Alligator mississippiensis: one gene and its partners. The protein of the gene in region 1 interacts with the protein of each later gene in a pairwise test. Links are inferred from orthologs where the notes say so. Each region holds a gene or a part of one and is shown on either strand. Other genes may lie near its edges. The genes, in order: HMBOX1, AEBP2 and ABITRAM.

Region 1 (9,877 bases):
TTGGGCACACACACCCTTCCTCAGGCTCAGGGAAAATTAAAGGTGGTAAAAAGTCCCCATTGGTAGAAAATAAACTTTCTTTGCAGAATCAAGGCCTTTTACTATCATTTTTCAGGTCTCTAACTAGGTGCATAACACAGTGCCTAGTCTTGATATCTCCTGGGTTACTGCACTCGTTTATACAGGGGCAATGAATTACAGTTTCCAGCTCTTGACTGAATACTCCATTACCAAATCAACTTAAGAGGCATATAGTTTAAAAGACCCTCTCCCCCCCCCCCCCACAAAAATCAACCAAAAACCTTGTCAGTAATATGACACTTATGTGAACACACAAGGTAATACCATCAGGACATGTATAAACTAAAGGCCCAATCCCACAAGGAGTTGTAGGTGGTTACCAGAGCCAGCGTGAAGCTGCATTAAAATCAATGTAAAGTGACATTGACTGCACTGACTATAAAAGCATCCCAGCTGGGAGCAGCCCAGACAACAAACAAACTGCATTAAGTTATCTGTAAGACAGGTAAAGTTATCTGTTCTGCTGCAATAAGATTTTTACGCTGACAGCATTTTTTAACCTGATTGACTCCAAATCCTGAAGTTCCCTGAAGGTGAAGAACATGCCCATAAACTGCTCTGATCCTGCATTCAAAACCCTATGAGCGCTGCACAGAAAGGACTACACTCAGGAATCTCTCATGCAACCAGTAGCTGTTAGCATAAAAGGCAATCTTCAAAAATCCCTGTTTATGGAAGGGAGGCATCAGCATGCTTTAAGTTAAACTGTTTCTTGCATCAGAATAATATTCATTCCCCCAGCTCCCACCACACACACTTATCTAGAGTCTTCCCCACTCCCCAGAACTGCACACTGAAGGTCCAGACTGCATAAGGCACACACTGGCTAAAGTGTTAGCAGAACAAGTGCATTTCACTACAGAAACTTGAATTTCTTTAGTCCCAGGGTTTCCTTAGCTCCCGAAACAAAGGCAGAGAACAATTCAAACTCCTCCCTGAACTTACGCATATGCCACTTCATTATCATGACAAAATGAGTGCATCAGGGAACACTTGGGATTTCATTTTCCAAGCACTGCTCAGACATTTGCTGGCCCCACCTCTCTGAAGGAGAGCAGAAGAAATCCTTGCATGACAGACATGGAAACAGGCATAGGGTAAACTTCTCTGAGCAGGAAGGGTCCATGTCCACTCTGCAGAGCATCTAGCACAACGGGAGCTCGTTACCAGGTGGCCATGTAGGCACAAACTATTATAGTTGTGCTTGTACAACGGAATATGCTTTCAAGACTGAAGCAACTTGCCAAAATTAGTGGGAGAAAGAGGAATGTCTCAGCTACCTAGGATTTTCTGAGAATTTCCCACCAATTCTCTGGCAACATTGCAGTTTCATGCCCAGGAAGAATGCCTGGCAGCCCACATGCTACAATGTCGTCTAGACCTGCTCTGAACGGAGGTAGATGACACAGGATTAAAAATGCTGATGGCTGACTGCTAGCAACAGTGCTAACAGAATGGGAGGAAGATTAAGAGAACAGGCACAGCAGAGTTAAACACCACGTCCTTGTTCCTGATCCCATGCTCAGCCCGCTAGACAATTCTGTCTGTACAGAAAGCTGTGCCTGACTCAGGGTTAAAGACGAAGAACTTGTGTGTCAGAAGGGGACACGGCATCCCCAGATGCAAGCATTTCACTTTAGTTTGAGCAGAATTGTCCCACCTCAGAGAACCCAGAGCTCTGAGGACACAGAGACAGCAGATAATTTTCACAACCAGAAATATAAATCTGCCTGAAGCTAAAAAAGTTCAAAATATCAGTACATGTAATGTACTGCTCCCCACCCCACACACCTTCTGCCCTCTCCCCACCCCACACACCTTCTGCCTCCCTACCTTCTCCTTAAGGATTTGGAGCTGAAAGAGCAGAAGGAGAGTCAAGACGCACACAAATAAACAAAGTTTACGGTCTGCTGTTGCAGGACCATACCCCAGCATGATCTTACAGCGACTAAAGAAAAGTCTTCAGAGTTATATATCCACATACACCCACTCCCCTCTCACCAGCATCCCTGTGAGCCTGGCCTAATGTTAGATAAATAAAGAGAAAGGCAGTTCCTACTAATGAGGCAGGGTACGGCAAGGCCAAAGAAAATGCAATCATCTCAGGGGGGAAAAAAAAAACAAAAAAAAAAAAAACTGCACTGGGCTCCTCCTCTCCCATCTATGGAGGAAATCAGATGCCAGCTGCACCATCCGAGGAAGGAAGCAGAGAGAGGCTCTTGCACCTGATGAGCCCTGCAGAAATGAGTTAGCTATATCACAGGACCCAGACAGCCACTCCAGGATTTTGCAAGCCCAAAAGTTGTCTGCTTAGCACAAACCGTTTATATGACAATTTTATTTTCTGGGGTGTCAAACCATGCAAATGTCATCCCTTTCACTGGGTCCTTCTCCACTATCCCCTCTGGCCTCTGGGGCACTCGGCCAGTGCCCATCAGACTCGCTGTTCTCACATCACGACTCTGCCCATCAGTTTAACACTTCCTTCCCCAGGTTAAAACCCACAGCTTTCAGTTGGTATAGATTTTGCACTTCCCTCGATGCCACAAAAAACTCCAGAAGCAACCAAAATATACCCGACTTCAGCGACTTGGAAATATCACCCCCGCACAAGCAAGCTTCCCCCCGCCAAAAAAAGGCATCCTCCCCCTCCCCCATGTGAAGGGGGTTGGGGAAAGCATCACCCACCGCCAAAGGGCCAGAAGCCAGAGAGAAACGGAGCTGCTGCAGAAACTGTTTCCAAAGAAATGCCCTGCAGATGGATTCAGCGACACTTCTAACTGCCACTTCCCACCAATAAACCCACCGGCCAACACAGAGGGGGCAAAAAGCTCTGCCGGGCTCCTGCGTTTCGCAGTTCCTGAAGGAAGACGCGACTCCCAGCCGGTATTATTCTAACTCCGCGGCAAAGCCAAAAAAGCATAGGGCCAGGATAAAAAAAGAAAAAAAAAAAAAAAAAAAGAGCAGCCATGCGGCATTTTCCTCCCTCCCACCGCCCCCAGCAGCAGCAGCCACTCTTCCCTAGGGCAGTTTCAGGGCCCCACACATCCCAGATGTGCAGGGAGAAGAGATTTCCCAAGCCCCAGCCTCTCCCTAAAATACCAAGTCATGAGGATATGAAGGCAAACATCCCCCCACCCTCCGCCCAATGTCTCCTCATGCTCCACATGTGGGGAAGGGATTTCTCCTTCTCCCAGCCCCAGTCTCCCCCTGAAAAACAAAGTCATGAGCGTACGAAGGCAGACGCTGCCCCCCTCACCCCTCTCCAACCTGGACATAGAGAAGGAGGGAGTTTCACCCTCTTCCCAGCCCCAACCTCCCCCTGAAATACGAGGGGACGCTGCCCCCCCGTTTCTCCTCACACCCAGCATCCCGGACGCGCACCAGCCTTGCCCTACACCCCACGTCCCGGGCACGTGAAGTGATTTCACCCCCCGCCACCTCTCCTCACACCCGAAGTCCCGGACACAGGAAGGGATTTCACCCCTCCAGCCTCTCCTCACACCCAGCATCCCGGACACGCGCCAGGAAGGGATTTCACCACCCGCCCCAGCCTCTCCTCACACCCCATGTCCCAGACCCACAAAGGGACTTAACCCCCCCCCCACAAGTCCCAAACCCATGAAGGGATTTAAACCCCCCCCCCCAGTCCCAAACCCATGATGGCATTTAAACGCCCCCCACAAGTCCCAAACCCATGAAGGGATTTAACCCCCCCCCCCCAGTCCCAAACCCATGATGGCATTTAAACGCCCCGCACAAGTCCCAAACCCATGAAGGGATTTAACGCCCCCCCCCCCCAGGCCCAGACCCACGAAGGGATTTAACCCCTGCCCCCCCAATTCCCAGACCCACGAAGGCATTTAACCCCCCCCATCCCAGACCCACAAAGGGATTTAACCCCCCCCTCCCAAGTCCCAAACCCAAGAAGGGATTTAACCCCCACCCCCCCAATCCCAGACCCATGAAGGGATTTGCCCCCCCAACCTTTCCTCACACCCCAAGCCCCAGACACAACCACGTAGGGGCTTCACCCCCCAGCCCCCCCCCCCAAAAAAAAATTTACAAAGTAACAAGGAGACACACACAGACCCCCCCCCGCACACACGCACGCACACACACACACACACACACACATACACACACACGCACGCAGAGTGAAGGGTTGCGACCCCCAACCCCAGACACACGAGGGGATCCCCACCACATACAGTGAAGGGGTGCCACCCCCTCAGCCCCCCCGAAATACGAAGTGAGGAGGATACACAGGCAACCCCTCCCTCCCCCTCACACCCCCTTTCAGGGCTCACCCCAGACGGACCGTCTTTGTCTGCCTGACGAGCGCCATGTTGATATCAACATCCGAGCGCCCACCTGCCGCCGCGCCGCGGCCCTGGGACTTGTAGTTCGCCGCTCCCCAGGGCGGCGGACGGCGGGCGGCCCGCGGACTGCAACTCCCGGCGTGCCCCGCGGCCCGCCAATCAGGGAGCGCGGCCGGCCGACTACAGCTCCCGGCATGCCTCCCGGGCATGACCTCATCCGCCGGCTGAGGAGGCGGGGAGGGACTACAGGTCCCAGCGTGCCCCGCGCGCTGGGAGGGGGAAGAGGCAGGGCAGGAAGGGGCAGGGGGGAAGAGGCCGGCAGCATGAAGCTGGTGAGTGGGGCGGTGCAGGCCGGGGGGGGGCTCTCTTGTCCTTCCCCCTCCTGTGTCCTGGGGAGCCTCAGCCTTGGCCCCTGCTCCCCCTCCCCACCTTGCTGGAGGGCCCCGTCCTGCACATGGGGAAACTGAGGCACAGGAGGGGCCTAGGCTGGGGGTTCATGCCTGTATTAAGGCCCCAAACAGGCTTGTGTGCACCGGGGGGGCGGGGGAGGAGCGTGGCCGTTTTGGGGGAGGGGTATATGGGGGCTGGGGTGGCACTGGGGTGGTTTGGGGGGATGGTGGAGGGGTATTTTGGGGCTCGGGTGGTTTTTTGAGGGAAAGGGGTGTTTGGAGGCTGGGGTGGTTTTGGGGGATGGTGGAAGGGTATCTTGAGGCTGGGGTGGCACTGAAGTAGTTTGTTGGGGTGGCCCTGGGGGCAATTTTGGGGGATAGTAGAGGGGCATCTTGGGGCTGGGGTGGCACTGGGGGCAGTTTTTGGGGGTGGTGGAGGGGTATCTTGGGACCGGTTTGACACTGGGTGAAGTTCTTGGGTGGCAGTGGAGGGGCATTTCATCTGGGGTGGCGCTGGGGGCAGTTTGGGGGGATGATGTAGGGGCATCTTGGGTCTGGGGGGGCAGTTTAGGAGGGAAGTGTTGGAGGTGCATCTTGGGCAGGGAGCTGGGGCTGCGGAGGGCACGGCAGGTTGGTGAGCGTCTCTGCTCAGTGCTGGGAGCAGCTGAGCATCGATTTCCACCTGAGTTTACAGGGCACTAGAGAAACTTATGGGGAGGAAAGCTCTGATATAACACTGTCTAGTCAGATAACCCAGTCCTGATCGCCCTCCTCTTTGTAACCGCTCTTCTTTTGCAGTAGATAACTCTGTTCAGATATGCCCAGGGCTGTCGTAAAGCAGACGGCCATCAACTGTTGTCTTTGTTTACAGGACAAGAAGTAATGGCCTCTGACGTGCAACACAGGAGATATAGGTTAGATGTTAGGAAGAACTTTCTAACTGCGAGGCTGGTTGAGCACTGGAAGAGGTGACCTGAAAAGGCTGCAAAACCTCTGGTGCTGGAAAGTGGGGTTTTTTTGGTTTTTTTTTTAAATGCATGTTAGACAATTTTAGAGGTTGATTCTCAACCTTGTTAGACATGGGGCACCCCTCAGAAAATGCCTGGAGGCTGCAAGTGAGAGGAAGAGTGGGAAAAATCCCTTATCATGCCTTGTTCACTCTCCCTTTCAGCATCTGCTCTCTGCTGCCCCATGACACAAGAGCCTGGGCAATTGGACCTATGATGTCATTCTGTAAATGGCAGTTTTGTTGTTCACACATTTTTAACTATGGAAAAATCATAGAGCGGGTTTTTTGATGCAAAGAACTCAGAAAGATCATAACAGATCTAAATGTGTTTAACCCAAGGATTCCTATTTGAAATTTCTAGGTTCATCAGAGGGTGGTTTTGATTTAAATACAGTTGTTTTAAATCAAGAACCCTCAATTTTAATCATTATTTTCTACAAAAAGTGCATTCTTGATGTTTGATATAACCTTCATTAAAATATTCCCAACCTGGGTCTCTTTTATGGCTTGGCCAGCCTGCTGCCATGATAGGTTTTCCCTTCTACCATATCATTCCCTCGCTAGATCTCAAATTAGTGAAGAAGCTATACTCAGAAACTTATTCCTCAAGACTTTTGGAATATTCTGCTAAAAATGTTTCTTTTGTTTCTATTGCCATCCCGTCCTTGCATTATGTCTAGACTCTTCCTCCTTGCCCAGATCTACTCCACCCCCAACAATCCTTTATTCATTTAACTTTTTGAAACTTTGCACTTTTAGAGTGGGGCAAAAGCTTGACTCTGCATACACAAACTTGCCGAGACAAGAGGGCTGATCCGTAGGTAATTGGGTCGGTTCTCTCTCATCTCTGTGTACTGCTGTTAACAGGGGTGTTACCTCTGGAGAGACAAATCCACAGTCTGAGAACTGAAACTAAACATCACAGAGATGCTTAATGGGATTTTCTAGACTGAGCACTGAGTTCCACTGGGTAGAATAGTTTTCTTTAATCCTTACTAATCATTGGAGAATCCTTTGGGAACCCCATAAGATTGGACCCTAATATAGTCTATGGCCTGTTTTGACCTATTTATAAAGCTTCTCTAAAAAGGTTACATGAATATATTGTTTCAAATAGTATATAATTAGAAGTTATAATCCCTATTCCATGATGATATCTTTGAGCTCTAACATATCTTAAGTTTAAACTATTTTTATGTAGGTTTATTTTTTAAAAATCGTAAGAAAAAAATCGATATGATTCAATCAGAAAAATCTGATTTAAATAAAAAAATTCAACTTTTAATTAAAAAAAATCATTGATTTTTGTCCACCCTGGTTCATCATGTGAATCATGTTTGTACACCTAACAGTGCTAGTGTTGTGTGCCCCCCCGATAGGATTTCAAGGCACCCCTTGAAATCACCCCTTGGGTCACTGGTTTAGAGGATCCTGCTTTGAGCAGAGGATTCATTTAGAAGACCTCTTAAGGTGCCTTCCATTTCAATTATTTTAGTTATCATTCTTTGTAGCCACTTTACCAAGTTTTCCTCCCTCCGGCTCGGACTGTCATGTCCCAGCGTACAGGGACAATCTGTAGCTTTTCTTTTCCTCAGGCAAAGAAAGGTTGGGCTGACTTCCACAGGTGTTGAGTACCTTTGTCTGAGGAAGGTGTAGATGGCATAGGTTGGCACTCAGTACAGTAAAATCTCTGCTATCTGACATTTAACTAGCCAGAATACTCTGTTAACTGGAATTTCTGGCCGGCCGGACGCAGGGGAAAGCTCGCACACGGCAGCTGCCACGGCCGCTCCGCGTGGGCTGCCCTGCACTGCCATTGCTCTGCTGTGCCGAGCTTTGCTCCGCGCTGAACCCTGCTGCTGTTGCTGCTCCACATGTAACTGCTGCCACCTCCCCACTCCACATCTGGCTGCCGCCACCCCCACCTGCCCCGGCTCTGCGTCTGGCCAGCAACCTCCGTACTTCAGGTAACCGGTATTTTTAGATTTCTGGCACCCCCTGTTCTCTGCTCATGCCAGATAATGAGGCCTTTACTGTACTTCTTAAAAATACCTGCATAACCTAAGGAGCTTATCCAGTGCACGCACTCCTTTGACGGCAGAGCCTGGAGTAGAGTTACCAGTTTAATTTCAGAGAAATATAATAATAGGCAACTGTCCATCCTCTGGATCATGTTGTATTCATGTAAGAGGTCTATGATCATCACACCAAGGCCTTCAATGCATATTCCTAAGTGAGAGTATGGGGGCTGCCCAAAGCCTGCCATCCCCACTTTAGACCGTTGAGACAGAATCCAAAGGCCAGACCGAGTTCAGATGTTCAGTGCCTCAAGGGCGGTAGTTTCTGCCAGACAGCAACAGATAAGACCTGTTGCTGACTGCCTAGTGCCTCAGTGAGGGTGCATTTGTCAGTGTGATCTCCCTTAGCCTTTCTCCAGCCAAGGAGTACCCACAAGGCAGTTGAAGCTAGGGTTTTGAGGCACCCTATACTTGCCTTACCCTCGAGGTTGCAACATTGGGGTATTTTACTGGAGTTACCCCACCATGAGTAGCCCCGCAACATTAGCACCCAGCCTGCCAGTTGGATGCAGTTTATGGTCATACCCAGCACCCAAAGAAATATAGGAACCCTCTAAAGGAAATTGTTGGTATCTGATTATATACTTGTAACACATTGATCAGTGGTTTTTAAACCTCTTTCATCTAGGGACCCCTAAAAAAATTCGAATGGAGCTGCAGACCCCTTTGAATTGTAAGCGTGGTTATTCACATACTTTTGATTGTCATCTTTCGCAGACCCCTTAGATATCGTCTTTGGCCCCCCCCAGGGGTCCACGAGCCATAGGTTGAAAACCACTGACGCTTAATCATTATGCAAAGGATTAATCTACATGTGTCCCCTCTCATTCCTCAATCTGATATAACAGTACCCCACTACTTGTAGGTAGTAGTTCACCATCAGAGAATGCTTCCCTTTATAGTGTATTTTAATATCTTATGCAGAAAGCAGGGCAGGGTGGCACCTTATAGACTAACTCATTCAGAGAACCGTGACCTATTAATGGATTAGTACCCGATGAGCTAAGCTGTAGCCTCTGAAAGCTCATGCCTCTCTGAATGAGTTAGTCTATAAAGTGCCACCCTGATTCATAGATTCATAGATGTTAGGGTTGGAAGGGACCTCAATAGATCATCGAGTTCGACCCCCTGCATAAGCAGGAAAGAGTGCTGGGTCTAGATGACCCCAGCTAGATACTCGTCTAACCTCCTCTTGAAGACCCCCAGGGGAGGGGAGAGCACCACCTCCCTTGGGAGCCCGTTCCAGACCTTAGCCACTCGAACTGTGAAGAAGTTCTTCCTAATGTCCAGTCTAAATGTGCTCTCTGCTAGCTTGTGGCCATTGTTTCTTGTAACCCCCAGGGGCGCCTTGGTGAATAAATCCTCACCAATTCCCTTCTGTGCCCCCGTGATGAACTTATAGGCAGCCACAAGGTCGCCTCTCAGCCTTCTCTTGCGGAGGCTGAAAAGGTCCAGTTTCTCTAGTCTCTCCTTGTAGGGCTTGGTCTGCAGGCCCTTGACCATACGAGTGGCCCTTCTCTGGACCCTCTCCAGGTTATCCGCATCCCTCTTGAATTGCGGCGCCCAGAATTGCACGCAGTACTCCAACTGCGGTCTGACCAGCGCCCGATAGAGGGGAAGTATCACCTCCCTGGACCTGTTCGTCATGCATCAGCTGATGCACGATAAAGTGCCATTGGCTTTTCTGATGGCTTCGTCACACTGCCGGCTCATGTTCATCTTGGAGTCCACTAGGACTCCAAGATCCCTTTCCACCTCTGTGCCACCCAGCAGGTCCTTCCCTAGGCTGTAGGTGTGCTGGACATTTTTCCTCCCTAGGTGCAGCACTTTGCATTTCTCCTTGTTGAACTGCATCGTGTTGTTTTCTGCCCACTTGTGCAACCTATCCAGGTCTGCCTGCAGCTGTTCCCTGCCCTCCGGCGTGTCCACTTCTCCCCATAGCAAACTTGGACAGAGTACATTTGACTCCCTCGTCCAAGTCACTGATGAAGACATTAA
Region 2 (9,790 bases), on another chromosome or scaffold:
AAGTTACTGAATCTAGTAAAGCCCTGTACTCACCTGTTACAGTGCTGTATTTCTGGAGGAACGTTCAGTGATTCTTAGCCCTACAACAAGATAAACTGCTGTATTTTTTTCCAGTTAATTGTGGGAGAACTTCTTTGTCCTTCCAGAAATTCTACAGAAATTGTATGGAAGCACCAAAAGACTGTCAACACTTGCATGGTTAAGCCTTTGTCTTTGTTACAAAATTGAAGCATTAGCAGCCCCAATTGAAAGAGCTACCTGAGCTCTGTCTTACAGCCCTAAATGCAACAGCTAGCCTAAACTGACAACATCAAGCTCAGGTCAGGGGTCTTTGAGTAGAAGGGAGTACTGAAACAACTTCCCAGGAATGAAAAGTGAAGACATGTCCTAAGCAATTACTTTCTAGCTGTCTATACATTCTTTGAGAAGGGTATCAGTTTAGCTATTTGACAATTGAGATCAGCAAGTATGTACCCTCTCAAAATTAGTGGCAATGAAAAACAGAGAGTCAACCATCAAAAAAATAATCTTGAAGTGAGACCAATTCTTTTAGGTAATAAGTTATTAATGCCTTCTTTTTTGGGGGGGGGTGGAGGGGGGAGGAAGAAATGCAGTAGGACCTCAAAAGTACATTCAGGGAACTCTCTATTCCTAGAAATAAATATTAAAAAAAAATTAAAAAAATAACAAAACACATTTTGAGCCATAGTTAGCCTGTTTCAAAGTGCCTGCATTCTACAGAGTAATTTTCACAACACTTAATACACCCAGGATCTGCTGTTCTTTTCTAATCTGTGATTTTGTCAAGATCCATAAAAATGTTAGTGTTGGAAGAAACAGGTGAGTCACCTATTTAATAATTTAGGCACATACTGCTTCTGCAAGAAAGATTCAGTTAAATACAAGAGCGCCAAATATTCAAAATTTTAGATTTTTCATCCTCTATCTATAGTAAATAAATTCACTATTTTGGTACTTTTTGTAATTGTGATCAATACTAATGAATGTCAGGACTAAGAACTCCAACACCAGCCTACTCTGTCCCACCACATCCTTCTTTTCATTAGTTCTCCAAAAGGAAAGCAGGGGGCAGGGGAGGGAACGCCACTCAGAGCATGATCTGAGCATTACCAAACCTACTTACAGAAAGCATGACAGACTATGCCTCATCAAGAATGCCCTTCCATTTAGCCACTTCTCCTTAACTTAAGGGCTGTTAATTTGGGCACCCCAGTTCAGTCCCTCTCTCTCTAAATCATACTATGTAAGATGTTATCTCCAAAACAACCAGAATTCAACCCATTTAGCGATTCATGGGTGAAAGCCTTAACCTTTAGTACTAACTCAATCCCTGAGCAAAGCATAACATGCTTCTCTTTGTGAAACACCATTTAATAAGCAAAATGCTACATCTGCTGGAGTTGCAATTATTGAAAAGAAAAGGTGAAACCCCATGTAGATTTCACTTTAATAATAATATAATCTGGAAGTGAGCACATGCTGTGGTAAGGCACGGATACAAAAAACACATTTTGCAACTTTTACCAAGAATAAATGGTAAAAGAGCACTCTAATTACAAAAACTACTACTACCAACCCAAAAATCCAGAGGAAACCAAAACCAAAACAGAAGTTATGCTGTGTTGGGGAAAGTGTACTTTCTGTAGAGCACTTCACAGGCATCACAGAACAGAACAGCCCCTGCCACACCTTGTCTCTGGGGCCCCTACTCCTGTGACTGAATCTGAAAAAAAGCAACAAGGGTGCTATGAGTGGGTGCAGAAAACTGCATGCACAGATTTAGATGCACGGCCATCTCAGAACATGAAAACAGACACACACAAAAAGAAATAGCGAGAAAGTTGGGGTTCCCACAAGTCCCACCAGATAATAGGTAAATTGTTTAAGAGAAACTCTGCCATTTTTTTCTATTGCTCTCCTATCCTAACCCAACTACTTTTTTGGGTTGAGCCCCACAGGTTAGCGAGCTCCCCTCTTCTAGTCTAATATTTCAAGGACTAAGCCACCCGAATATATGATCTGATTTAGATGAGAAGAAAAAATGCGTACTTGCAACTGCCAATCTTCACAAGTTTATGGCACATCTAGCAGAGAGACTCTCTCTTAAAGACACAGGATTTCATAAAGTCTCATCTTTCACTTAAAAAAAAAATGTTTCTAAGCCTTAGGGTTGCAGAGAAAAGGTTGATAATCTGACCAACATAAAAGTTGAACCCAAAGAAAGAAATAATAATAATAATAATAATAAAATATCTCTTCTCTCTCTCTATAAAAGTGTAATGATTTTTAGATCAAGTCACTTGATTTAAAAATCTGTTTGGGGGCACTTGTTACACAGCTCATGAACACTTGGGGTTGCGCATTGAAGCCTCCTACACATCTGCAATTTTAACATCCCAGAAAACCCTAACAAATTCAGAGTAGTGAAAAACACAGCTTTACTATATTTTCAAATAAATCTTAGAACCCAACTATGAAAAAATCCCTATATAGGTTGTGTACTTTACCAGTTTAGATTACACAGACAGTGGTTAAAGTAAACTCTACATTACACATGAAATTAATTGCTCATTTAGAAAACTTCATATAAATGGATAAGAACTTTTATAGTGTATGGAACTCAATTATTTTTCTGAATAGATCCAATTGTATACATATTATATAGCCAGATATAAAATTGAGGAATGGTTTTCTAAAGGTAACAGCTACATGTATTCTTAACCCACACTAGAGTTAAGGGGGGGAAATAATAAGAAGGAACAAAACTGCCTACATACTTTTTAGTGAGAAAAAAATATGTGGAAAGGTTTTCCCATGTAATGGAAGGCAGCATGTGTTAGAGCAAGTACATTAAAATTCTCTAAGAGAAGTGTTACAGCCAGGTTGCTACTTCCTCTCTGTAGGACCTAGACATTTATACTGAAACTGACAGAACGCATCAAAATAAACTCAGTTTAACGTTTAACATTTCACCTTAGACTATTACAACACACTAGCTGTACTGCAATGGGAAGTACAACTTCAGAGACAGGTTAACTTAAAACAAATAAACAAAACAAAACAACAGCACCCCGGAAAAACTATGAAACTTTACAATGCAAGTATCCACCTTCTATTAAGCTATGCTTACAAAAGCCTCCTGTAGGTACCAGACTGAAGGGCTTCCAAAACATAAATAAGTAAATAAATCCAGGGGGCTGCATTTCAAGATTCACTACACTTGATCCTAGCCTACAAGAGGCTGAGAAGCCCCAAACCCAACCCAATCTGTCCAACCCTTTTGGGGGGGGGGGGGAGAAGCACAACCTTTAGGACCAAGTAGATTTTTACACCTGTATAAATCAGTAACTGTCCTGTTCAGGGTCACGAAACCCAGCCAGTGACAAAATCATATGCAGGAGGCTCTTCGTCCCCCAGAAGCTGAAGGGACAAATGACTTTTACACTTCTCCTGGCAATTCTCAACCCTGTGTATGGGGGAGAACACAATGGGACAACATGAAGTACCCCAGGGTGCCTGCGGACCCTTTCTAGGGTGCCGCACAGCATACACCCGGCCCTTAGGTGAGCAGACACGAACCCCACCAGAGGGGTGTAGTGGAACTCGGCAGCCTTACAAACGCCACGAACCGAGGTGTTTGCAACAGCAGAGCTGCCCGGCCCCTTCTCTCGGTGGCCGATCGGGGGGGGGGGGGGGGGGGGGGGGGGGAAGGTGGAACCTGTGGCTGACGGGCAGGGCGGTCCCTCCGTTGAACCCACCTGTCCTCCGAGTCCATGCGGCTGAGCGGCTCCCCGTCCGACGACATCTCCAGGCTGCCGCGGCGGCCACCCGACGTGGCACTGCAGCTGCTGCTGCCGCCGCCACCCGTGCCGTAGCCCTCGTCCGCGCCGCTCGACACGCTGCTGCTACTACTGCTACTACTACTGCTGCTGCTGCCGCCGGCCCCGCAGCCCCCCGCGCCGCCGCGGCCCGGCCCTGCTGCCTGCCCACCCCGCGGGCCCTTGGGCTCATCCTTGGCGTCCGCCTCGCTGCTGCCGCCGGGGCTGAGCGAGCGCGTCTCGTCGCTGCAGCAGCCGCTGCTGCTACCCGCCAGGCTACTCCTCTCCTCCTCCTCGCCGCCCTCCTCCTCCTCGTCCTCTTCCTCCTCGTCGCCCGCCTGGCTCGCGCTGCCCGGGCTGCGCTCCGACATGCTCTCCGCCTCGCCGCCCAGCAGCAGCAGCACCGCCCGCGGGCCCGCCCCGACTCCAGCCCCGCCGCCGGCCTCCGCTCCAGCCTCCTCCTCAGCCGCCTGGCCGGGCAGCGGCCCCTCCAGCTCCGCCATGTCGCTGCGAGCAGCCGCCATGGCGCCTCCGAGCCGCCGTGCGTGCGTGCGTGTCCCCGCCCGTGTACGTGCGTGCGTGTGCGCCTGTCCTCCTGCTACCGCCGCGCCGGGCAGCCGCAGAGGGAGGGGCCGCCGCACGCGCTACGGAGCGCGCCCGGGGACAAAATAGAGCCGTTGGAGGAGGGGGGGGGGGCAGCGCCTGGCGCCCGCGGAGGAGGGGAAGCGAGAACGAGGCTTCTGCATAGGACGGGCTGTTCCAAGTGCGAAAGGGGAGGGGGCAGAAGTAGATGGAGCGCTGCATTGCGCACACACGGGAGGGAAGTTGCGCGGCTCCTGTTGTGGACTCGCCCAGTGCCCCTGGGCTACTCACGTGGTGCCCCCTGCGCCTGTGGAGCAGCCGTGGTGGCCAGCGCAGCAGCCTCACCCTGGGGTGCCTGTCCCATGTGCCACGGGGTGCCACAGGGCGAGGCTTTCACACGGGGAAGCCCCCCGGTACTTACCTGGCAGGGGAATACCATAACCATGAAGGTGGTTTTCCTAGTTGTAGGGGAAAACCACTTTCTTGGCAGGGGGTAGTATCCTGATGGAGATAATCCAGCGGGCAGATCTTGGCTACATGCCGACTCCTCCTGCACGTGCTCCTGCAGCCATGCCCCCGAGGGCAAGGGGAACTCGGGGGCACCTGAACCCCAAGCTGCCAGGCCTGCACAGAGGATGCCCATCAAAGGATTGAGAAGCATCTGAAGCCCCAGGCAGGGGTGGAGCAGTGCCACGTTTGATTCTGGAATGACTCGCGGATTTGGAATCGATTTGGCTTGGAACATGAACATTTTTCCTTAAAAAACAAAGTGTTAAGTGCAGGCAGCTCCCTCATGGCCTCTCTCAGTGCTGGGGTTCCCCTGCGTGAAATCCTTCCAAAGCCTGTGTGTGCACACCTCGCCCTGTGGCACCTGGGACAGCCTAGCCAGGCACCACAGGGCGAGGCTGCTCGGTTGTGGCCTCTCTCAGTTCTTTGCCACAGAAGTATCACTCTCCTGTGTTTCTGCAATCAGGAAAGGAATGAAAGCTGCAAGCCCGCGTTGCGTTGCCGAGGGACGCCCTGAGCCTAGAGAGGGTGTCTTGTGCGGAAATGGTTGAGAACTGTTGGGCCTGTTGGTTCCTTGCCTGGGTCACCAAGGCCGCCAATGCTAACATGCTTCGTCCCACACAGTGTGCCATACAATAAAAATGCTAAATGCAAGGCCCAGGACCAGACACCACTCCCCTGACAGAAAAATATCAGGCCATGAGAGAAAAATCAGCAGAACCTCCCATTCTAGCAACTCCTGGTTGTTTCTGTCCTGCCTGGAAGGATCCCAAACCCCCAATCGAAAGTTACTTGGCCTGGGCCTGAGACAGTCCCAACACACGGAGATGAACTCACCCCAGCAATTGCCCATGGATCCATTAGCAGTAACATCATACCATAGCAACATCAAAACAGGAAACACCAAGACAGTCAATATGCTGAAAAAAAGGGATATCAAATCTGAAAACAAACCAACTACATCTTCCCCCTAGAGAACCATGTAAGCAAATTTAGAGGGCTATAAATGGCATGTTTGGCTTTTGAAAAAACATTTGGCCCAGGCTGAGACCACGTTCTTCATTGCTAGAATATGGAGTTGGTGGGAAAGTATGAAGTATGCCTGAAAACAAGGTTTGGGAATAAGAAAGTTGCAGCCTTTGCATTATTCTTGTTAACACACACATCTTCAAATGGCCAACTCTATCAGAGCGGACATTAAAAAACTTATGCCCTTGCTATGAGATAAAGTACTTGTTATATGCTTCCTTTTTCTCTTTACGGAGAAAAAGATGCAATGCAGATTTTTTTTACTGGTATGCAACTGATTTTTATTGCTCAGTTCTGAGTTAGGGTTAAAAAAAATGAGCCAGTTGTCATACTGCAGTGGCCAATAGCTATAGATAAAGGTGGCTATAGTGCCACTTTAGAGCCGTGCTTCCCTACCTTCAACACTTTAGCCGATCCATGGATTGTGATCCAGGAACGGAACAGAAAAGGGTGGATGCTAGGTCATGATAAATCAGAATTACTTAGTGTACTTACATAAAAAATTGCTTCTAACATCTATTCTAAGGAAGCAAACAGGAACGAATGGGGAATGAAAGGTTAAGTACCTGGATTTCCTTGAGATGTGCTGTCTATGCAGTTTACTTTTGGTGCCCCAGGAGTTCAAGAGCACAATCCTTTGGCCTGCAGCCTTCCTTGAGGACGTGTACATTTCCTGAGTTTCCTTCTGATCCCACCAATTGCAAATAAAGAGTAGTGCAGGCCCAAACAACACTCAGTTTCTTCACCATTGCAGTACCAACAGTAGCAAGGAATGAGGAGGGCAGGCTATAGAATACACAAAAACACATCTCAAAGGATTCCATTTACAATGGGATAAGTTAATTTTGTTATTCCTTTGAGCTGGTGTCCCTATATATTCCACTTTTGGGATGTCACAAGCAGGAATCTAATACAAGACGGTATGTAGAGAAACTACTTAAGCAGATATTGCAGTAAAGGCACTTGTATCTTGAGGCTTATTTCAAGTATTGTATGAAGCCTGAGCAGCTGCCCTGCAGATGTCTCAAATGAGTATGCTTTGGATGGGAGCTACTGAAGCTGCCTCAGCCCTGGTGAAGCAAACCTTGAGCTGAGCAGGTAGATCTAAAGTAGGTAGCTCATCACAGGGCCTAATGGATTCTAGTACGTATTTGGGTATACTGTGGGCTGGTATTACTTAACCTTTCATTCAGTCAGCAAATGTTATTAATAGTCTCAAAACCTTATCCTTTCATCTGTAAAGAACCATTTTTTTTCAGAGTTTCCCCAAAACTATTTAAAGTATGTGGCCTAGCTACCCCCTGCTCAATATAGGTTTAGGGGGAAATATGAATTAAAGAATCATGTGGCTCAAAGGAAAATCTGTGATTACTGTAGGCATGTGAGTACCTACTCAGACCTTATCCTTCTGCAGTGTTGCATAAGAAAAGCCAGCTGTGAGAGCCTGCATTTCCCCCCTTATTTTGACTGATGTCATTGCAGCTCAAAAGGATGTCTTCATAGATAAATGAACAAGAAACAGGATGTCAGGCATTCAAATAGGAAGCTCATTAAGTCTGTAAGTACCACATTAATGTCCAGTGGAGATGGCAGTTCCCTAATTGGTGGAATAAATGGGTATAAAGTGTAGTCTAAACAATCCAAATAATTATTTTTTATAGTTGCAATATGGGATGAGGATGTAGCAAACGATGACTGTTTCCTTTTTTTTTTTTCACTTTTGTTTCCAGGAGGCTCTAAGGTGGTTGTAGTTTCCTAGTGATTATCCTTGCCTAGAGCAGTGGTTCTTACCTTTGTAGACTCATGGGACCCTCCATTACATTTCTAAATTGAGCCATACCCCATTTTAAATAACTCATTTGTTTATTACAGTGCATACCTCCTTGCACATAGGGCCTGGTGGTGGAGGAATGGCCAGTCAGGGAGAGCCTGAGCCTGCCTTTATTTTCTTATCTCCTACATCACTTCACTTCTCAGCCCTTGCACTCTGAGAATCACTAGCTTAGAGTAAAAGCTTCTGGTCTTTCTTACTTTCTCATACAAATCAGTATATAAACATGAAGAAAAAGTAATTTTTTATATAACGTGTAGTTGCGGTAGGAGGTGGTGGAGGCGCAGATAGCATAGTCAGGTTCAAAAAGGGACTGGATGAATTCATGGATGATAGTTCAATTAATGGCTATTGTACAGAATGGTTGGAGATGTTACCTCTGGCATCTCTAGCCCATAAATGTTAGATGCCAGAGAGGATATTGCATAGGGGATATATCACCCTAGAGATACCTGGTTTGATGCTCTCTTTATATGGCATCCACTTCTGCCTCTGTCAGAGGCAGGATACTGGGCTAGATGGGCCACTGGTTGGACCCACTATGGCACTTCTTGCTCTTATGAAAGGAAGCATTTAATATTATAGGGCAGTGGGCTGTGACCATGAGTACCCAACTTCCTTGAACTTCAGAAAAGGTCAGATTGGCAGAAAAGACCCATTTATTATATCCTACTAGAAGTAGAACCCCTATTTGCTAAAGCAGGGGTCAGAAACCTTTTAGAAATAACAGGTCGGGATAACGTGGAAATAGAGTTTTTGCACTAAACCAGTCTAGGCCCTGGAAGAGAAAATGCACCACTGCACCTCTTGGGGAAACACCCAAACTTTGGAGTCTGGATGATGGGCATCACTCTGAAATGAGGCAATATCAGAACCATGTAGAGCTTCCTGAAGGGATCCGATTTCTCTCACACAAGTTATATATTTAACTCCTCTCTGCTTTTCTGTGGGAGTTTTGCAAGAAAGACATATTCTGCCAGGAATGGTTGATAAATAGCAATCCAGAACTGCATTGGCAGAGGTGTAACACTAACATCCTAATAAATTGAGCTACTAAGATTCTTTTCCTCTGGGAGTCATCTTTGTCTGTTGCTACCTACTCCTTTAATCAGCTGTGAGATTCACTAACAAGACAGGTGCTGAATAAAACTGACAAATGCTGCCTGGTACTTTGTATCTGCCTTTTTAGAGCTTGGTATTACTGTGGTTGGTATTTGCCAAGTACTAAATACATTTTGCCAACTCTAAAAGGTCTTCACTGACAGGTGAAATCAAACATCCAGGTATGGAGTCGTGAAGAATGACAATAGCCTTCTTGGATCTAACCCACCAGTATTTGAAGAGATCAGATTATACATCTGAACAGATACTGAAATTAAAGTGCTTGAAGCCATCCAGGAAAAAGTATGGATTGGATCAAATACATCATCCAGGAATAGAGGACATGTAGCCAGGTGGCTTTGTCTGATCTTGTTGGACCTAGTACTTGAAGGAAGCACCTCTGGACTCAGGTGGAGCATGTCACACCTGAGGGCATTGTATAGAGTGATCTTATAAAAAATGAAGGCAAAAGGCACACCTTAAACTGAGTCCTTTAGGACTTACACATGGAGCAGTGTGTGGGTTTTTTGGCAGGGGATGGGGATGGGGGTGATATATTACATACCCCCCCCCCGATAAAAAAAGCTTTTTAATGTGCCCATTAATTGATATTGCCCCATCACAGGTGATAAAATGTTTAAGATGGACAACTTAAGATAAAATGTCCCTAAAGTATGGTACCTGGAAGCAATCCCCCACAAGATATAAAAAGGAAAACCACTTAGTAAAGTAGGTAAACTACCAAAATCTGATCGATGAGCAAGGTATCCTGGGTGAAACTATTGCAAACCAGAGTCAATATGTTCAACTATTTCCAAAGATTTCTGTAAAATTGAATGGAGATGTAGGTGCCTTAGAGTTCTGTCTGATAGCCGCAGAGGGTGTAAAGGAATTGTGCCAC
Region 3 (10,041 bases), on another chromosome or scaffold:
CAGGAGTAGCCCTGCAACAGGAGTAGCTGGACAGGCAGGTTAATCGTTTCCTGCCTGCTTCTCTGGGACAGACATTGCAGGTAGTCACAACTAAGTAATGCCCTGAGGACGAGGAGGTGGCAGGGGGACACCCTGAGCTGTGGGGTGGGGAGAACAGGGGGAAGCCCTTGGGGATCAGGGGGGAAGCCTGGAATGGGAGTGGGGGAGATTCTTACCTTTCAGTTCTCCAGGTCCCTGCTTGCTGTTCCTAACTCGAGCTAGTACTGACACGAATCAACACTTGTGCAGCTCCCAGCATAAGGTGTAACAAGACCCTGACATTACGCAGAAGTCTATAAGGTGCCACCCTATCCTGCCTACCTGGTTCAGAAGCATGAGCTTTTATAGGTGGCAGCCTACTTCATCAGATAATGTAACCTGCAAAAGCTCAAGCTTCTTTCAACGAGTCCAGTATAGGCAAAAGGTAGGGCAGGGTAGCACTTTATAGACTTTTTTATTCTAGAGCAGTGGTTCCCCACCTTTAGACTCCAGGTGTCCCTCCAACTTTTGTGAACTGAGTGACACTTCATTTCTAAAACTTTTATTTTGGTGCCTACCTTCCTGTTAGGGATGTGAATGGTTAAATGATTAATCATTTAACCAATCAGCCAGTGATAACTGGTTCTAGCTAACTGGTCATGTTTTAACCTGAGGCTGGGTACAGTCTGGGGGGAAGAGGCGGAATGGAACCAGCAGGCTGCGGGGCAGGAGGGAGGGGGAGAGGAGCCAGGAGGGGAGGGGTGTGGTGATTAATACCTAGGCTCTGTGACCCTGGTGCAGCCACTTGCAGCCTCCCTGCTGCCTGCCATGAGCAGACCAGGTTCCAGGCAGGCTGCCAGAGCACAGGCTGCAAATGGGTTTACAGAGCCTAGCTATTGGGTATTAGTGACACCTCCCCCTCCCACCTGTTCTGCTGCAGCTGGGCCCAAGGAAGCTATGTGCTGGTGGCTGCAGTGGGCTGGTAAAGCCCTTCTCTGACTACTGCTGCCTGTGGCTTCCTAGGCTGTGCTCTGGCCCCCAACTCCCTGTGCCACTCGGCAGGTAGATGCAAACCCTCCTCCAAGGAAGAGTGGGACAGGCACCAGCCTGCAGCTCAGCACCCCTTAGTCTGACTTTGCAGAGCTGTGGGCTGGAGCCCAGTGTCACTATGCCTGTCCCCCATGCAGTGCCTTCTGCTGCTACAGCTGCTGCAGGTATGACAAGGACAAGATTGAGGTAAGCAGGTGCAGGGTGACTCCCCTGGGCCTCTGGCCCAGCCCCATGGCATGCCCCACCTGCCCCATCCATGCCCAAACTTGGGCTCAGAAAGGACCCACCAGCCTAGTTTGTTGTGGGGGCATTGCTGAGTTTATCACACCTGGTGGGGGCTGGAAGCCCCCCACTGGTGCTGGGTTTGGCAGGGGTGCCCTACAGGCCAGGCTGGAGGTTACCATAGTGAGTAAACCTGTTGTAATTGCAACAGGTTAAACGGATAGTTTTAAAATCAGTATTTACATCCCTACTTCCTGTACAGGGCCCAGGCAGTAGGAGGTGTGAGGAGGAGTGAGCCTCCATCTTCTCATACTGTTACTTATGCTATAGGTAACCTTGTGGGTAGGCTACTAATGAGAGACAGAAACAGGTCTACAGCCCAACTTTTTATCGGCTTTCACCTTAAAACATGAGAACAAACATTTATCTCAAAGTCTATCTGGCTACCCACAACAGCACAATGCTGATTCTCACCTATACCAACTGGGGAGATCTGAGAGTGGGGGGGGACACACAGATTGGTGGCAGGTCTTCTTGAATTCGCAGTTCTCCAAATTTCCCTCCAGCCCATGCCTAATACTTATAAATGGCTGGTTTTAAATGACCCCTGATTAGTTTTATTTAAATGTCCTTTTTTCACTGAAACTTTTGGAACTGGGCTGAACCAGATTTTTTATGGGCTTGGAAGGTGGCAATTTTTTGGGATTTATATCTTTGGGAAAGATGGAGGGTTTCTTATCACCTTTCCTTCTCCATTGTGGAATGCTGTTTCTTCTTTACCTTCCTTTATGCTCTTCTCTGAAAGGCTGTTTTTGTTTTTACAGATTATCTAAGCATCTTAACAGAAATATATCTATTACAGGAAAATAACATCTCATACACTTGGTTACATCAATCACTGTTGCTACAACTTTAAGATAAAGCTATGATGTAGCATATATGGATTATTAAATATATGGTCTTCTCTTACCTCCTTTTAGGCTCTGTAATTTGTTTAACTGTACTTGATGATTTCCTTTACTTCCTGACCAAGTTAGTTGTAACATGTGCAAAGGTTCACACTGCAGTTACTCAAAAGCATGTTTGGGGCCTTCTGCTTAGCAGCACTTCTGCAGCTTAGCCTAGGCCGCTTGAAAATGGCCAAGGCTAACAATAGTAGCCGGGACTGGGCTGTGTGTGTCAGAGAAGGGGCAGTGACCAGCCAGGCTGTGTGCGCTTAGCCCTTCACATCCACATCATCTGTAAGGATCTTTGCTCTAAACTGCTGTTAACACTCTATTGCAACTTCCTGACTTTTTCAACAAAGTGGCAGTGAACTACTTAGAGAACTGGAAATAAAATGGTAGTCTTGAAACTAAAATAAGAACAGTCACTGATGCGCCAAATCACTTAAGTTAACTGAGGAAGGAGGTTAAATATAGGAGAAACTCAAGTCTGACAACCAGGGGAAGTTTAAAAAAAACCAGTAACCTAACAATTTTCAGTTTCAAATCAGGTGGACAAAGCACTAGGAAATTTCATTTGCAAGGGAGATAGAATAGTCATGAGTACAGATGAGCTTTTCTCTCATTTTGTATCTAAATAAATTCATCAGTCAGTATTTCTTTAATCCGAACATGACTGAACAAAACTTACTCCTGTTTCAAATCGCCAGCCAGGGCAGAATTCTGAGCAAATGGATTCACTTGGATTCTGAGCAAATATCAGCTTTGGCTGGAATGGTATTTTGGATCATGGTAGATCAGTCTGTAAGAACTGCCATATTGAATTAGATCAGTGAAGCTCTGCTCTGGATCTTAGTCTTCAAAAACTTGTGGATGCATTTTTAGCTGCTCCATTGAAAATCATAGCAGAAGCTAAGTTATTCAGATTCTGTGGGAGTTGTACCTCTCTGCTAAAAACTCAAAGATTTAAACTGCAACTGTTGTGATCTGTAATCTTAGATTATTAAGAATGTGTGACTTTTTTTAAATACAGGAAAAATGATGGCCCATACTCACCAAAGGATAATTCTAAATATTGGCACCTTCAGCCATTTGACTCCTATTATTTCATTCACCTTGACATCTAAAGGAGAGCCCATTTCCAGTTGAAGAGCAAGGCTAATATGATATTAAAACATGCCACTCTCCAATTTACTCATCTAATCCAATGCAACAATAATTTTCGAATAAGTTTATTACTGTACACAAATCAAGGTTTTCATATGTACCCATCACAGGTTTTCTTTTTAGCTCTTAATGAAATAAGGACAGATGTTTCTTCTTGCTGTTCTGATTCTTTAAAGTTCTGTATTCTTGAAAGCTATACCAATGAATTTTCACTAATAATATAGAATACTAAAATACACAATACCCTGATAGTTTAGTATGTTAAAATAGGGGTTCTCAACCAAGGCCCTTGGCCATTATGTGTGGTAGGCTTAGAAAACCACCAGATGGCAGCTTCACTGGCTCCCTGTGCAGCTGTCTCCCAGATTAAAAGGTGACACTACAGGGAGCTGAGACTCCACACCCTATTAACTCAGATAATGAAATGAAAGGGAAGGTAGAATTTAAATCTATCACCCTCAAGAGAAGAATAGCATAGCTAGCAGGCAAGGGGTGGGGTGCAGAAGAAAACCAATGAGAGCTGATGCTGTTGTACCTTTATGAATATACAAGGAAGGGTGGGAAAACTGGAGAAGATGCAGAGATTGTGGTGTGGTACAACCAGCCAGCTGCTTTGATGCTGCAATGGTTTGCACTGTATTGCTCTGGGGTCAGTCTACCTCTGGAACTGCAAGGACTCTCACTGTTTCAAGGGAGCTCTGTCTGCTAGACACCATTTAGGGCCATATGAAAAGTGCAAAATGACACAATAGTCATTAGCATGTTCTAAGAATGATTGCCTCTAAGCCCCCCCTTGCCCAAAGGAAATGACCAATAGCTGTAAATAAATATTCTTGATTTAAAAGGAAACATCACTGTACCAGATCTGCATAACCTTTGCATTTCACATTCAATCTTTGACGCTAATGGGTAGGAGCTTACTACCATGCCCAGGCAAAATTCTTTTTATGCTGTAGGCTGCTTTTTCCTTCTCAGTCAGCCAGCCAGTGTGTGATGAATAGTTACACCCAGGATATCTCTGAGGGGTTTTATTCAAAGAAGTACAGGAGAAACCAAAGTAAGTTCCTCCAAACTATACGCTGGTTTGTTGGGGCATTATCAATTGGGCAACATTACCAACAGCAACTAAAAACAGCCGAGAACAGGTAGACATAGGCCTTGTGATTCGAGGCAAGTTGCAGACTCCCACCTCTCTGCTTTTGTGTGGGGGTTTTATCCCTTCAGGTTCAGATTTCTGTATTCCTGGCCATTCAAACTGTCCTAACCATCTTTTGGCAGATTGAGAAGGAGCAGGGAAACTGAGTCATTATCTGTGACCATTGGTTTTTCCTAGGGTTGCCTTAATAGCATTGGGTGTCAGAGGTAGGGGCCCGAGGGCCCTAGCCCCCCTTGGGAAGAGGGCTCAGCTGAAATGCCAACAATTTTCCACATATCCGTCACCTTAGCACCCCCAAATAAAAACTGGCGCCTACATAGTACGTTGGTTGTGACCCCAGGCCTGTGCCTCTCCTCTCTGTCGAAACTGTCCCCCACCATCCGCTTCTCACACTGCGATTCAGACTGAACCGCTCCTGGCGCCGGTGTCTGGGCGAGGCCTCCAGCACGGCAGAAAGCAGCGGGGGGGCGGGCCCGGGCTCCCAGCAATGTGCACATCTCTTGGGAAAAGCCACTGCATCACCTGGCAACACGCGTGAGCCCGGGCGCAGAGCTGCAGGTCCCCGGGGCCCGCCCCCTGTGCTCGTGCTGCTCTGGACCGGCGCCGGAAGCCGGCGAGCGCCTCAGCAGCAGTAGCAGCGGCACTTCCGCCTCTAACCCCGCCAGCCAATCAGAGGCTTCCGGTCCGCTTGCGTCAGTCCGCAGATGCGCCGGGCGGTGCGCGCATTGCTTGGCCCTGATTGGCTCCCTGTTCCTGAGGGGGGCGGGACGGCCATGGCTGCGGCTCCGGGCGTGACGGAGCGGTATTTCACGCGCTGGTACAAGACAGGTGGGTGCCCCCTCTCCCTCCTTTCTTCCCCCCCTCCTGGGCCTCGGGGTTGTTGCTGCGCCCGGGGGGTGCTGCGCGCGGCCTGGCCGGGTTTGGGGGGCCGGAGCGCGCCCGCCCGCTCACGAGGCCCGTGTCGCTGTTTCTTGCAGACGTGGGGCAGCCCCGCGAGGACTACTGCATCCTGCAGCACTCCAACAGGTGAGCACAGCCCCGCCCTGCACACGGCACGTGTATCGCACGCCACGCAATACATGTACAGCGGTCGCAGACGAAGTCATGACCCAAAGTGGGTGACCGGCGCAATAAATGCACGCCTGCCGCTTGTGCCAAGTCATTATCGCACAACAATACCATGTCATAAACGTAGACCAGCTGCATGGGCAAAGCCGTCATCGCACAACAAGTGGGTGAACCGCAGTTAATGGGCGAACTGCGTCAGAAACATAGAGCGGCTGCACGCACGAGTAAAGGCATTATTGTGCAACGCGCGGGTGACCCAGGCAATAAATGCACACCAACCACAGGTGCCAAGCCACTATCATGTTGTTTATGGGTGAATTGCAATTAATGGTTCATCTGTGCAGTAGATGTAGACTGGCCACGATGACGCAGTCAGTGGGGGGATTGTGCAGTAAGCACAGAGCGGCTGCACAGGCAAAGTTGTCATTGCACAATACAATGGGCTTTCCAGCTCAGCAAAGGCCCAGGTGGCTCTCGCGTGAGTGCTGGAGCACACGCGGCAGCTCCAGAGCTGGTTTCTGTTCGGCACAAGTCGGAGCAGGCCGCAGGGCAGGTACAGCCCCCACTTCACCAGCATGTGGGATGGGGAAGCAGAACAGTCTGTGTCCCTGAGTGCTGCTCAAGCTGTTCCCAGCGCTCCTGTCTGGTGTCCATAACAGGTCACAGTGACTGGTCCCATGTAGACAGTGGCATGGGAAGCACTAGGAAACACTGGGGTTCTTGTGTTTTGTTGACATTGTGAGTGGCGATTGGCATGAGACAGGTGAAGGTGCTCAACCTTTTAGTGCCACAGGCAAATGAGTGGCACTGGGATAGTCTGTGAGCCAGGTTGGGCCCTGGGGCCTGGCACTGCATTATCTCTGCCCCACACACCAAGAGTGGGCCTGAGGGGCCTGGCAACACCTCTTACTGCCCCTGATGCACCAGGTTGGGATCCTTGTGCTGCCCCTTCCCAGCCTCCCCCATGTGCCGGGATTGGTTCCCAGTGACACAACACTGTCCCCTCCCAGACCCCGCCACCAGGATTGGGCCCAGGGGTCCTACAGTGCCCTCTCCTGGCCTGGCATGCTGGGATTGAGCACCCATCAGAGCTGTCTCTAGGGGTGTGCTGCGCCTTGGGTATACCAGCCTGTTTGGGGCTGGGGGGTGGCGAGCGGCTGTAGCACACGACGGGGTGGAGGCGAGCAGCTGCAGCTGGTGGGGGAGGGGGCATGGTGAGCGGCTGCAGCGCAGAGTTGGTGACGCACAGCAGGGCCTGTACAGCACTGTCCACGTCCCCCAAAACATGAGGCCTGGGGTGGTTGCCCTGATTCACCCCCTGCTAGGGATGGCTTTGGTGCCCATCCAGCAGGTAGGGCTTGGGGGCTTCCCTTGGATCCAGAGATTTGGCATCAGGGGAGCAGGGCCACCACTCCCTTGTTGCCAAATTTCCAGACTCCTGGGGAGTCCTGCAGGCTGGATGGCACTGTGGCAGAAGCCGGATCTAGGGCTTGAGCACCCCTGGGTTAAGGAGGTAAATCACTTTGTTACGTAAGTCTCATTTTGAAACTCTGCCTTTGAATAAGTAAGTGCCTCCTGTAACTATCAGTATTGAACAGATCGCTTCCCACTTTGATGTGTAATTTTGCTTTGGCAGTAGCATTCACTCACTCAGCAGCTCTGTATGCTTATCCGGATTTGTTTCTGTATAATCTAGCAGCTAAAGGCCAGGCCCACTCTGGGGCTTAGTTATTACAGGGCTTGGTTTCACAGCACCTAGCTTTTGAGTGCCAGGCCTCGCGGCTGCAGACTGGTACTAGGCACAACACCTAGGGGGGGTTGGGGGAAATTCACAGCATCCATTGTGCCAAATGGGACGCAGCAGAAGTAAGTCAGCAGGAGATACTGACAACAGATGTGTTACTTGAATCCCACCGGTCTCTGGGGCATAAGCACTTCATCACTACCAGGAGCTAACCCTCTCCACTTAGCCTGTACAGCTTGAGCCTCCTCGTAGAAGGAGGAGCCTAGATCCTTGTTTGGCCTTTGAAAGAAAGGATTACATTTTTATATCTTTTTAAAATGTCTGGAGGACAATATGCCTATTCCTTTTCTATGCAGTTGCACAGTGGTTAGAGCACTTATGATGTGGGAGACCCTGGTTCAAATCCCTCTTCCGCCTGAGAGGATTCAAACCCTCACTTCCCACTTCTCACAAGAATACCCTAATCTTCATGGCATAGACTGTTCTGTGTGTGGATACTCTTGCTCTGGTGTTGAAGTTGTGCCACTGTTCTGAAAAGGGTCCAAGATGGTTGGACCAGAGCAAGTGTGGGCCTTATTCTATAGCCTAGTGGTTAAAGCCTTTACCTGGGAAAGAAGAACCCTCATCCCACTTCCTGTTCTAAGGACTCTCCATATTTATTCAAGGTGGAACAGCTTCAGTAGGAGCAGTGAATATGCTCCATACCCCAAAATAATTTATACCCTGGTGGTTACCGTGCTCTTTGGGGAGGCAGGAGATGTGGGGTTGAATCTTGTCAGTGAGAAGAGGGGATTTAACTCAAGTCTTCCACACCCAGGGTTAGGCACTCTGAACACTGTACTTTTGAATAAAAAAGGGGCTGCTGCTATATCACTTCCTTCTGCGTTTTCAATGGAAGCAGTGGCTGCTACTGGATTTTCTGTGGAGTGCAATTCACTAGGCATGAGGTAGGCATTCTTGGAGCATACGTAACAATAACACTTTTGGGCACAGTTGACAGAGAAACACCTAGTTTATGGATCCCAGCAGGTCTTCAGTATGAGAGAAGTGCTGGGCTGCTCTGCTCTGTCCAGACTTTAGTCCCATATAGACTAAGGAGTAGATGGCAGCTGAGCAGAGGTTTTGCAGATTTAAATTTTAGACTTAGGCACCTAAAACAGGATCAAGCCTTTTTTTAGGTCTAGCCATACATTTTCATCTGTTAATCTTGCATTCCTCTTAGATGGGACAAAAGTGGATCAGACTGAATTTGCATTCTCAACACTAAGTTTTAGCTTTCAAGGGGTTGCACAGGTATCACTGAAAACCTTCTTTGGTCTGCAGAGCCAGTCCTACTATCAGTTATGCATAAGAAGGAAAGGGAGGCTCACTCGAGTTTCAGAATCAAGGTTTGCAGGGTTGCTAGTTCATTATAAAGCATACCTTTTTTTTTTTTTTTTAAATATAGATATCCCAGAAATATCACAGTGTTCTAGCAACTATTTATTTAGCAGCTTAAACAGACGAAAAAGGCTGTAGTGAAACTTCTGAAATACTTTCCAATTTTTCAATATGAATTGAGAAGCTGTATAATCCCTGGGACACAAGTAACTCCATATGAAGACCTATAAGTGATGCCTATCAGCACATGAAAATAAATACTACATACAGAAAAATAGGAAACCAGTAGCATTTTCAGAAAAAAAACACATTTCTGGTGTACTACTATGCCAGTTCTGGTTATGATGAGAAGTATTTAAGTTAATGTATACTAAGTGAAAAATGAGTCCTGCAAAGGTGCGATGATACTGTGTGTGGCCTGCTTTGTTTGAGGCTAGCTAGGTTGTGTCTTTTTTTTTTTCCTTGGGGGTTTTTTGTTTGTTTGTTTGCACTGCCACTTTTCAAGCATTAGAAAATCCGGTCCTTTGTACCATAAACGTCTTGATCTTGTGCCATCCTAGCATCATAAGGGACCAGATTGGAAAGTATCAAGCACATCTTAGAACTGTAATATAAGCAGATAAGAGATTGCAGTGCTGTGTGTTTATTCTTTTAAGTGTAAAATAAGTATTTAGGGGGAAAAGCTATTTTGCTTTACTGTTTGTTTCTCTTCCCTCTTCCTTTAATGATTTCACAATAGACATCTCTCAAGCCCTCCAGTAGAAGCTAGGATGAGCAGATTTTTGACATCCCTTATCATTTTTTAAGTAAAAGAAGAAATTTAAAATGTACGTATAAAAACCCCTCACTTCTTTAGGCTTGAGAAACAAGAATGAAGAACAGAAGTTGCCCCCTTCAGAAGAAACATTTAACAGCTGTTGAAAACTCTTGTTCTTTGTATTCTTGCCACTCTGATCTTTCTTTCAGCATTTTAATGTCTAGTGGGATAATTAAGAATAGAAAAGCCATATTTCAGACTGACACTTCTACAGAGGATTAAAAACCCATAGAAATACTCATGTCTTTTTATAATCAGATTAGATGGTATTTATTCCTACTTCTAAACTCTGTTTTTTGTGACTTTCTGCAGTGTGTGCAAACATCATAAATTCACATCTGTGCTGTTTATTTGCTTTCTGTACAATACTGGGTGGTAACAGCTTCTCCAAACTTGCATTTTTATATTCTTCTTCTGAATAACTTTTTTACTTGCCAGGGACAAACATTGCATTATATTAGATGCTTGTTGTAAA

Evidence for each region.
Region 2: the proteins of HMBOX1 (region 1) and AEBP2 interact in binary tests that used the Homo sapiens proteins (3 or more experiments, as listed by UniProt). The two-hybrid records come from large-scale screens. The link is inferred for Alligator mississippiensis from reciprocal best matches to the Homo sapiens genes HMBOX1 and AEBP2.
Region 3: the proteins of HMBOX1 (region 1) and ABITRAM interact in binary tests that used the Homo sapiens proteins (3 or more experiments, as listed by UniProt). The two-hybrid records come from large-scale screens. The link is inferred for Alligator mississippiensis from reciprocal best matches to the Homo sapiens genes HMBOX1 and ABITRAM.

The regions. Positions count from the first base shown.
Region 1 is NC_081824.1:6,032,677-6,042,553, reverse strand, and holds the start of HMBOX1 (homeobox-containing protein 1), read right to left. Parts: upstream 4,463-9,877; 5' UTR 4,444-4,462; coding exon 4,403-4,443; coding exon of another isoform or gene 4,392-4,402; intron 1-4,391. Other genes in the region: INTS9 (integrator complex subunit 9), read left to right, coding at 4,727-4,735. UniProt on the Homo sapiens protein: Binds directly to 5'-TTAGGG-3' repeats in telomeric DNA. Associates with the telomerase complex at sites of active telomere processing and positively regulates telomere elongation.
Region 2 is NC_081827.1:123,054,623-123,064,412, reverse strand, and holds the start of AEBP2 (zinc finger protein AEBP2), read right to left. Parts: upstream 4,449-9,790; 5' UTR 4,364-4,448; coding exon 3,780-4,363; intron 1-3,779. UniProt on the Homo sapiens protein: Acts as an accessory subunit for the core Polycomb repressive complex 2 (PRC2), which mediates histone H3K27 (H3K27me3) trimethylation on chromatin leading to transcriptional repression of the affected target gene.
Region 3 is NC_081826.1:145,410,654-145,420,694, reverse strand, and holds the start of ABITRAM (protein Abitram), read left to right. Parts: upstream 1-5,279; 5' UTR 5,280-5,330; coding exon 5,331-5,385; intron 5,386-5,534; coding exon 5,535-5,583; intron 5,584-10,041. UniProt on the Homo sapiens protein: Actin-binding protein that regulates actin polymerization, filopodia dynamics and increases the branching of proximal dendrites of developing neurons.